Canis lupus familiaris: one gene and its partners. The protein of the gene in region 1 purifies or fractionates together with the protein of each later gene. This does not show direct contact. Links are inferred from orthologs where the notes say so. Each region holds a gene or a part of one and is shown on either strand. Other genes may lie near its edges.

Evidence for each region. Proteins that work in one complex are often made in the same cells at the same time.
Region 2: the proteins of SLC39A4 (region 1) and alpha-1,3-mannosyl-glycoprotein 2-beta-N-acetylglucosaminyltransferase purify together in Homo sapiens (affinity purification with mass spectrometry; 3 studies listed by BioGRID and IntAct, with this or other methods). This does not show direct contact. The link is inferred for Canis lupus familiaris from reciprocal best matches to the Homo sapiens genes SLC39A4 and MGAT1.
Region 3: the proteins of SLC39A4 (region 1) and LEMD2 purify together in Homo sapiens (affinity purification with mass spectrometry; 3 studies listed by BioGRID and IntAct, counting the BioPlex papers as one, with this or other methods). This does not show direct contact. The link is inferred for Canis lupus familiaris from reciprocal best matches to the Homo sapiens genes SLC39A4 and LEMD2.

Annotation. Positions count from the first base shown.
Region 1 is NC_049234.1:38,584,007-38,586,806, reverse strand, and holds the end of SLC39A4 (zinc transporter ZIP4), read left to right. Parts: intron 1-21; coding exon 22-144; intron 145-301; coding exon 302-356; intron 357-444; coding exon 445-597; intron 598-742; coding exon 743-930; intron 931-1,035; coding exon 1,036-1,164; 3' UTR 1,165-2,224; downstream 2,225-2,800. UniProt on the Homo sapiens protein: Selective transporter that mediates the uptake of Zn(2+). Plays an essential role for dietary zinc uptake from small intestine. The Zn(2+) uniporter activity is regulated by zinc availability.
Region 2 is NC_049232.1:297,850-300,515, forward strand, and holds part of alpha-1,3-mannosyl-glycoprotein 2-beta-N-acetylglucosaminyltransferase, read right to left. Parts: intron 832-2,666; 5' UTR 709-831; coding exon 1-708. UniProt on the Homo sapiens protein: Initiates complex N-linked carbohydrate formation. Essential for the conversion of high-mannose to hybrid and complex N-glycans.
Region 3 is NC_049233.1:3,299,560-3,303,263, forward strand, and holds part of LEMD2 (LEM domain-containing protein 2), read right to left. Parts: intron 1,444-3,704; coding exon 1,367-1,443; intron 389-1,366; coding exon 309-388; intron 1-308. UniProt on the Homo sapiens protein: Nuclear lamina-associated inner nuclear membrane protein that is involved in nuclear structure organization, maintenance of nuclear envelope (NE) integrity and NE reformation after mitosis.

The DNA of each region.
Region 1 (2,800 bases):
CCTGACCCACTGTCCCCACAGGACTCAAAGGATGGGCCCTGCAGCCACAGCCATGGTGGCCACAGCCATGGGGTGTCCCTGCAGCTGGCGCCCAGCGAGCTCCGGCCACCTAAGCAGCCCCACGAGGGCTCCCGCGCAGACCTGGTGAGCTGGCCCTTCCCCGACGTCCCCATGCCACAGGGAGCTCCTCCCCCAAGGGCCCCGGACCTGCCCCGCCACCGCCCCGGGGCCTCCGATGCTGTTCGGGGGACCCAGCCCATGCGCCCCTCCTCACCTCCCGGCCCACCTGACCACCCCGCAGGTGGCGGAGGAGAGCCCGGAGCTGCTGAGCGCGGAGCCCCGGAGACTGAGCCCAGGTGAGTCCCGAGGAAAGCCCCAGAAGGGTCGGGGGGCCGGCGCGGGCGGGGGGCCGGGCGGGCGCGCACCCACGTCCACCGCCCGCAGAGCTCCGGCTGCTGCCCTACGTGATCACACTGGGCGACGCGCTGCACAACTTCGCCGACGGGCTGGCCGTGGGCGCCGCCTTCGCGTCCTCCTGGAAGACCGGGCTGGCCACGTCGCTGGCCGTGTTCTGCCACGAGCTGCCACACGAGCTAGGTCCGCGGCGCTGGGCCCCCTGGCGGGGCGGGGCGGGGCCTGCGGGGGGCCGGGCCTCCCGGGCGGTGGGCCGGGCCATGAGCGGGGGGGCTGCCGCGGGGCGGGGCGCCCCGGCCTGACCCCGCCCCCGCCCCTCCCGCCCCAGGGGACTTCGCGGCCCTGCTGCACGCGGGGCTGTCGGTGCGCCGGGCGTTGCTGCTGAACTTGGCCTCGGCGCTGACTGCCTTCGCCGGCCTCTACGTGGCGCTCGCTGTCGACGTCGGCGAGGACAGCGAGGCCTGGATCCTGGCGGTGGCCACCGGCCTCTTCCTCTACGTGGCGCTCTGCGACATGGTCAGGGTGGAGGGCGGGAGTCGGCCGCCCAGGGGTGAGCTGAGCAGGGTGAGCCGGGGCCCGGAGCTGGCCCCTGACCACAGCCTCCCTCTCCCTCTCCCTCAGCTCCCGGCCATGCTGCACGTGCGGGACCGGCGGCCCTGGCTCCTCTTCCTGCTGCACAACATGGGCCTGCTGGGCGGCTGGACCGTCCTGCTGCTGCTGTCGCTGTATGAGGACAACATCACCCTCTGATGGCCCCCGCCCCACTCTCCGGCCCTTGATGCTGCCTGCTGACCCTGGCCTATCTCAGCCCCTTGCCCCGACCTGCCAGTGCGGGGCCTGCCCCTGGGTGCACCCGCCCCGCCTCCGCCTCCTGCTTCAATAAAGACATTCTTGTCCTTGGAGCCCAGCTGCTCTACGTGCTGTTAGGGAAGTGTCTCCCACCAGGAGAGGCAGACAGGTGGGGCTCTGACCAGGAACCTGCTGGCAGCCCGCCCCAGTCCCCCTCTGCAAGGTGCAGTGGGGTCAGAGAAATTGGCGGGGGTCTGCAGGTAGCAGGTGAGGCCTGGTCTCCAATCAGGAATCAAACTTGTTGACTCATAGCAAAAAGACCAAAACAACCCGCTATGCTCGCCTAGAAAGAGGTCGAGAGGCCCCTGGGTGGCTCCGTCTGTGAAGCGTCTGCCTTGGGCTCAGTCACGATCCCAGGGTCCTGAGATCGAGTCTCAGGTGGAGGTCAGGCTCCCCGGTCCATGGAGGATCCTGCTTCTCCCTCTCCCAGTGCCTTTGCTGGTCTTCTGCTGGTGCCCACTCTCTCTGTCAAATGAGTAAATAAAATCTTTAAAAAAAAAAGATAGAGGCCTAGAGCTGGTCAGGCTAGAGTGTGTGGCCCATGGTCCGCGGGGCCTGGGCCTCTTCTGCTCTGAGGTCTGTGCCAGAACTGTTCATCCTCCAAGTCCCCTTGTAGCCCCCCAGGCTGTAGCACAGCCCACCACAAACTGTGAGCCTTAAAAACGACATTTTCTCACCATTCTGAAGGCAGAAGTCTAAAATCAAGGTGTCGGTAAGCTGTGTTCCTTCTTGGCTCCATAGGAAGAATTTGTCACATGAGACTTTACTGGTTTCTGGTGGGCCCAAGTGTTCCGTGTCTGGGGCAGGATGAGTCCAGTGTCCTCTGTTTTATGACCTCTCCTCGTGTGTCTCTTCTCTTCTCCTATGGGATTACCAGCTCACCCTACTCCAGTGTATCCTTGTCTTAACTAATTCTATCTGTAATGACACTATTTCCAAATAAAAGTCACATTCTGAGGTACTGTTGGTAGGTTTCCATATCTTTTGGGGGGACCCATTTTTTTTTTAAGATTTTATTTATTTTTCAGGAGAGACAGAGAGAGAGAGAGGCAGAGACACAGGCAGAAGGAGAAGCAGGCTCCCTGCGGGGATCTGGATGCGGGACTCGATCCCAGAACCCTGGGATCATGACCTGAGCCGAAGGCAGATGGTCAACCACTGAGTCACCCAGGTGTCCCTGGGAGGACACAATTCAATCTAGAACACCTCTTATGGTCCAAAATGGCTGCCAGAGCTCCAGCCATTAAATGCACTGTCCGGATAGCAGAAAGGAGGTAGGTAGAAGGAAAGATCAAAAGAGAAAGGGGTCCAGGGGATATCAGATTCAGCCTGTCATTTACCCAACACACAGACACAAAAGCGGGAGAGTGGATGGAAGTCAGTGTCCTGTTACGCTCTACGCGTCCACTTGTGCTGGAGAGAGGTGGGTGCTGCTCGCCACCCACCCGGGGCAAACTGGGCAGGAGGGGCCGAATGTAAGAGCGCCCTGGCCCAACAGGTACGCAGATGCTCCCGCGTATCCAAGACCCTTGGTTCT
Region 2 (2,666 bases), on another chromosome or scaffold:
GGAGGGGTCGGCCCTCAGCAGCGGGTATGTGGCCTGAAAGTACTCAAAGAAGTCTGGAGCCACCTCCAGGTCGTCCTCCACCACCACCGCTGCTGGGAACTTAAACTTGTGGAAGACCTGGCCCAGCGCCCAGCGGTAGTGCCGCGCAATCTTGTAGTAGCCCTGGAACTTGCGGTGGTCTGGGGGCACCGTGATGCTACTCAGGTCTGGCTGCCGGATGTGCGTGATGGCACTGCCGTAGGAGGCGATGACCTGGGCCGTTTCCTCATGCCCGCAGTCCTGACTGACAATTATGGGGAAGTGTTCGGCTGAGGGCCGGTAATGCAGCAGCTTGTCCAGGCAGCGCCGGACAGTGCTGCGGTCACAGGCGATGACCAGGATGGGGATCACAGCTGGTGGGGAGGACACAGGCACACGCGGTGGGGCAGGTGGAGCAGCAGTGGGCACCCTCCACCGCTGGCTCCACCGAGCATGATGCTCCCTGATCTGCTGCAACAGCCCTCTCTGGCGCTCCAACTCCACCTCTGCATCCTCGGCTAGACGGATCACCTCCCGGGTGAGGCTGGCGGGGTCATCATCGAGAGCGCTGTCTGAGGGCAGCCTGCTGGGTGACGGGCGCGTCCAGAAGAAAAGGAGCAGCAGGGCATTCCAGGCCACAAAGAGGATGGCGCCCCACAGCACAAGCCCAGCAGATTGCTTCTTCAGCATCCTGGCCCCCACAGGGGAGGGCAGCAAGGGTGGGGCTCGAGGCTGCCCTTTGCTTGCCTAGTTTACTTCCACAGCCCTAGGGATGCTTTCTCTGGCCTTTGGAAACAGGAAGCAGCCATGCACCTGAGGAGAAGACAAACAAAACCAACCTTCATCACAAAGGCATGCAGCTCTCCTGGGGGTGGAGGAATGGGGCCTGAAGGGGCATCCAAGAATAGGAGAAACAGTAGGGCAAGTGGGAGGCCAAGAGGTTGACTCCAGAGCTCTCTTAGAAATGAGCTGCCCATCTCTTAATCTGGGATAAAGAGGATAGGACAACACACTTCCCCCACTCCAAAATGAGTCCATGAGCCTCAGAAAAGCAATATGGTTTGAGTGAGAAATAAAGCGTGATGTTGTCAAGGAGGAAGCAACAGAACCCTACTTTTCCTCCCATACGTGAAAGACTTCAGTTTCAACTTCTCTGCAGAGTTTTAGGGGCAAGGATGGAGGTGAGTCTTTCTGCCTCCCATTCCTCAAATCAAATTGCTCACAGATTACTGATTTTAAAACCCTAATATTAGGGGTGCCTGGGAAGCTCAGTCAGTTAAGCATAGGACTCTTGGTACCAGCTCAGGTCTTGATCTCAGGGTGGTGAGATCAAGCCCCAGAGGGGCTCCAGGCTCAGCAGGGAGCCTGCTCCAATTTCTCTCCCTCTGCCCCTAGCTCACAGGCCCACGCTTTCGCTCTCTCAAATAAATAAATAAAATCTTTAAAAAAATAAAAATAAAAACTCTTAATATCACACCTCTAGGCTAAAGTCAGACCTTATCTAATAAGGAAGCACTAGCGGCATTCCCACAAAAGTCAGGGGCAAAGCCAAGCTGCCCACCATCTATATGACAATTTAACATTCTCTTGGAGGGATCAGCCAATGTGAATGGACTACAGAAGTGGAAAAAGAAGCATGACTATCTATTTGTTGATACTGTAAGAATATGCCTGGGAAACTGATAGAATCAATGATAAACCCAAACAACTGAAGAATTGAGCATAGTAGCAGGATATAAAACTAACAGGCACAAATCAGTAGCCTTCCTATACACAAAAAATAACTCATTAGAAGTCACAATGCTTGAGAAAACCCTATTTACAACAGCCATAAAAATTATAAACTATGTAAGAATAAACTTAACAAGGAATATTCAAAACCTACATGAGCAAGGTTTTGCTCATTAGCCTACCAACCATTAAAATACTACACATTACAAAGCTTCTATAATTAAAACGATGTGATGCTAGTAGGTAAATAAATAGATCCAAAGGAATACAATTTAAACTACAAAAACAGACCCAAATATGTGTAGAAACCCAATAGAAGATACAGGTGATATTTAAAATTACTAAGGCAAAAAAAATGGTCTATTAGTTGTTATAACAACTATACAGCTATTTGGAAAAACAAAATTATATAACTGTACAGAATAACTCCCAAGTGGATTAGAGTTCTAAATATAAAAAATCTAACTATACAAGTGCTAGAAGAAAATACACATCAATTCCTCTATAACCTGCATACAAAAAAAGGCTAAGTTTGATTCAAAATCTAGATGCAGTAATAAGTAAAACACTTGCACGATATAAACACAATTGGCCAAGTTGAAAGACAAACTGGGAGAGAATATTTGCAATATATATCACAAATAAAAAGCCAATAGTCTGACAAAAAACTTTTAAACTGAGGGGGTAAAAAGCCAAAACTCCTTATCTTTAGTTAGACCAGGGCAATTCACAAAAAGATACTGAATTGGTCCTTGGGTACATGAAAAGATACTCAATTTCACTTATAGTAAGAAAAATGCAAATTAAACTATACTAAGATAAAATTTCTTACTCATCAGATGCAAAAATTCAAACAGTTGTCCTTCTTTTAAAAGTTTCAAGTGGAAAACAAGTTCTGATCATCCAAAGATGATCAC
Region 3 (3,704 bases), on another chromosome or scaffold:
CAGACAAAAGGAAATACAGAATGACTTCTCTATGTGGGACCAGCGAGTTCAAAGGGCACAGAGTGAGTTACTTGAAACTCAAAGGTGTAGGTAGAAAACTAGGCTAACCTGGATTTTGTGTCTTATCGTGAAGTGGCTCCTTCCGCTGCACCCTGACCACCTTTTCCTTCTGTTGCCTGGCTGTAGGCTTAGCCCACAAGGACTTGGCAGGGAGACCTGGCTCTACCTTCAGACACCTCTGTGAGCTGACCGTGGCCGCAGGTGCCCATGGTAGTGCCCCCACCCTGTGATGCCTCGCCCACACTCACCAGATGCCCACATCCTTGTTACTGCTCAGTATCCAGGTCAGCGCAGCTTCAAACTTGGCAGGGGAGTTGCCGGTCACATTCTGTGGGAGGGGGCGGGAGATTAGTGCTGTGGCTGGGCAGACCAGCTAGAACATTGTTCTCCTGCTGGATTAGGGAAGACCTCTCCCGTGTCCTCCAGCGGGCCCCAGAGCCCCATTCCGCTAAATGCACGACAAAGTGGAAGGTGGAAATGTGGGTTGATGAGAGCCAAGAAGGGGCTCTACCAGGAGGAGTCGAGGTGGGAGCACACAAGAAAGTGATGCAGGTCTGAGGTAGCCAAAAACAATTTTCTCAAGTACCAAAGCGTCAAGGGCTAGCAGCTCATCTTGGGGAAAATAAAAACACGTGTGGGGCTGGGGGCCCCAGGGGCCAGTCCCTGCCCCTCTCTGGGCCTCAGTCTCCTCATCTGGGAAATGAAAATAGGCTAGGGGACCCCTAGGTTTCTGCTGGCTCTAAGGTTCTAGAATTCTGTCAAACTGGGGCCAGGCCAACGGCCACACAGACCCCGAGCAATCTACACAGTGAACATAAAGGAGAGAATGGACAGGTGAAATGTAGGTCTGTAAAGCTGCTGGGAAGGGGAGAAAAGCGGGGGGTAAGTAATGGGGCTGCTTCAAGAAGAGGCGGCCTGCAGTGGCCATACCAGCTGCTCAGGAGACCCCCACCCACCTGTGGCAGGCAGGGCTCCGGCTCACAGCTCAGCTGGGACCAGGCACCTCTCCTGCTGCCTAAACTGAAAGTAGCCTAACACTCAACTAAGTTAGAAAGAAAGAAAAGAAAGAAAAGAAAGAAAAGAAAGAAAAGAAAGAAAGAAAGAAGAAAAGAAAAGGAAAGAAAGAAAAGAAAAGAAAAGAAAAGAAAAGAAAAGAAAAGAAAAGAAAGAAACAACAAAAAAGGGAAAACAAAAATAGCCAAAAAGCAAACACAAAATGGAAACGGAAAAAAAAGGCAGGGTCTGAAAGATCAGAACAAAAGCACCAGGACCTCCTGGGAGTGGGTGAGCGCTGCAGCCTACTTACTGCTAGGTATTCCTGGGCTTCCACTACAGGGATGCATTTGCTTTTTAGCTTCTCTGGATTTCCACATTCAAAATTACCTAGGAGGAAAAAACACATTCAAACAAAAGGAAGAGGTGGGGAAAAAAATACTCTGAAATGGGCTAAAAAAAAAAAAAAATGCAGCAAGAATCAAGCCATCAGCTTTAAGGGGGAGCATGTGGCCCCATGACTCTGGTGAGGCATCCTCAGTCTGCACCAAGATCAAAACCCACTTGGCTTGGATCGATTCCAGATCATTAAAACCTGACCTGCAAAGGAGTGCAGTGATTTGCATTAAATGACTAAAAAGCTACCCAATCCTAAGGTCTGTTCTCAATTGATCCCTAAGAGGATCAGACAGGTAGCTTTGGAAGGTACCAGAATGGCACTATAAATAAACGCGACCTGGGCAAAAAAAAGAAAGGCAGGGCGGCTGCAGGCACTGCAGGATTCTGGCCACGGCACAGGCCGGGGGCTAGGAACTCCAGGCCCACTGTTTTGAGGGGTTCTGGGGAGGGAAGGCCAAAATGCCCCACAGAGAAAGAGGGCATCCCTGTGCTGGGCAGTGGGGCCTCAGTGTGGTGCCCCAAGGGGCCACCCCCTTCTGATTAGGTCCCACCTAGGATGAAGCTGGGAGCCTCCCCTTAGGCCCACCCAGGGCCACCTCCTCTGAAAACTCCCGAGCCCATGGGGAAATCTTGTCGGACCAAATCACTCTGGACTTGGGGGCCTGCCACAGCCAGTGGCTCTCAACAGCCCACTATGGTCCACCCACCATTGTTCTGCTTCCTGTGGGTCACTAGATGCCTTGAGAGCAGGCACAGCACAGGCTGGGGGCATGTACAAGATCCTTAACCCACACAGAGCCTCACTGCTCTTAACCTGGCGCAGCCTGGGGTCTGGGGAGGGAGTGGCTGAGAATGAACTTTAAAAATCTTGAGACCAAACTAAAGGTTATCCCTCCTGTGCCAAGTTGAGCTTGCCCTTATGGGACCCCTGAGATCAAGCTGGCTTTTCCCGACAGGCCCCAGAATGCCCTGCCCCGCTTAAGCTGGCCTGGACCACAGCCATGGTCTCCTGATTAGTTTCGTCCTCTCTCCTTTCTCATCAACGTTTGATCAACAAAAGTTTAAAATGATTCTGCTTAAATCGCACTACTACACTCAAGCTGCCGTCACCCTTGCCTTCCTAGCTCCTGGCTCTCAACATATCACTCTGCTGCTCAAAAGCCTCCTTGGCATTCACCGCCTGCAGTGATCAAAGCCCTGGTGGCCTGACATCTATGGCCATCCATGGTGGGGCCCAACCAACCTTTCCAAACTCCATTCCTTCCCCTATGAAGCCAAGAGCTTCCATCCCTGACTCTGTCATTTCCCGCCTCTTGGCTCTGCCCTGCCCCCCACATATACAGAATCAATCCTCCTTGGGCTTCAGGGTCTGGCACAGACACCACCTCCCCTGTGATGCTTTCCTGACTGCTCCAGCTGAAAGGTAACATGCCTACTGGAACTTCTGGCCTCTCGGTTCTCATCTAATCACACCTTTTAACAGCCATTGGTCAGGGAGGTAGGTGGCCTGTCCCTTCTACTAGATCATAAGCACCCTGTGGGCTGCAAGGGAAGCACAATGCCCCGCCCATAGGTGACCTCCCAGGTGGGGTTGGGGTTGGGCAGAGTATGGCCTAGCAGAGCCCTCATTCCCCTGCAGTGAGACCCTCAGGCTTGCCGTTGGCCAGGCTTGTCAGAGGACAGGAGGCACTAGGCCCCCTGATGGCATAAGCCAGGACCACAAATGGAGGGCAGGATGGAGGAGAAATGTCTACCAGCATCTCTGGTTTAAGACAGAGCTTCCCTACTTTATACCCTAGGGCTTTTCAAAAATGCAGACTTTGATTCATAGGTTTGGAATGGGTCCTCAGATTCTGGATTTCCAATAGGTTCTGGGGTGATCCTAATGCTGCTTGTCCCTGGACCACAACTGAGTTACTAAGGTCTGGAACACTCTCTTAAAGGGCCAGAATTTGGGCAGCCTGGGTGGCTCGGCGGTTTAGTGCCTGCCTTCAGCCCAGGGGGTGATCCTGGAGACCTGGGATCGAGGCCCACATCGGGCTCCCTGCATGGAGCCTGCTTCTCACTCTGCCTTGTGTCTCTGCCTCTCTCTCTCTCTCTGTGTGTGTCTCTCATGAATAAATAAATAAAATCTTGAAAAAAATAAAGGGCCAGAATTTATAGTCCAAGGACCCAGGCCATGCAGAAAGGCCCCTGGGGCCTGTGATGCTGTGAGCTCCCATGCCTACTGCTCCTCCTCCGAGCTCACAGAT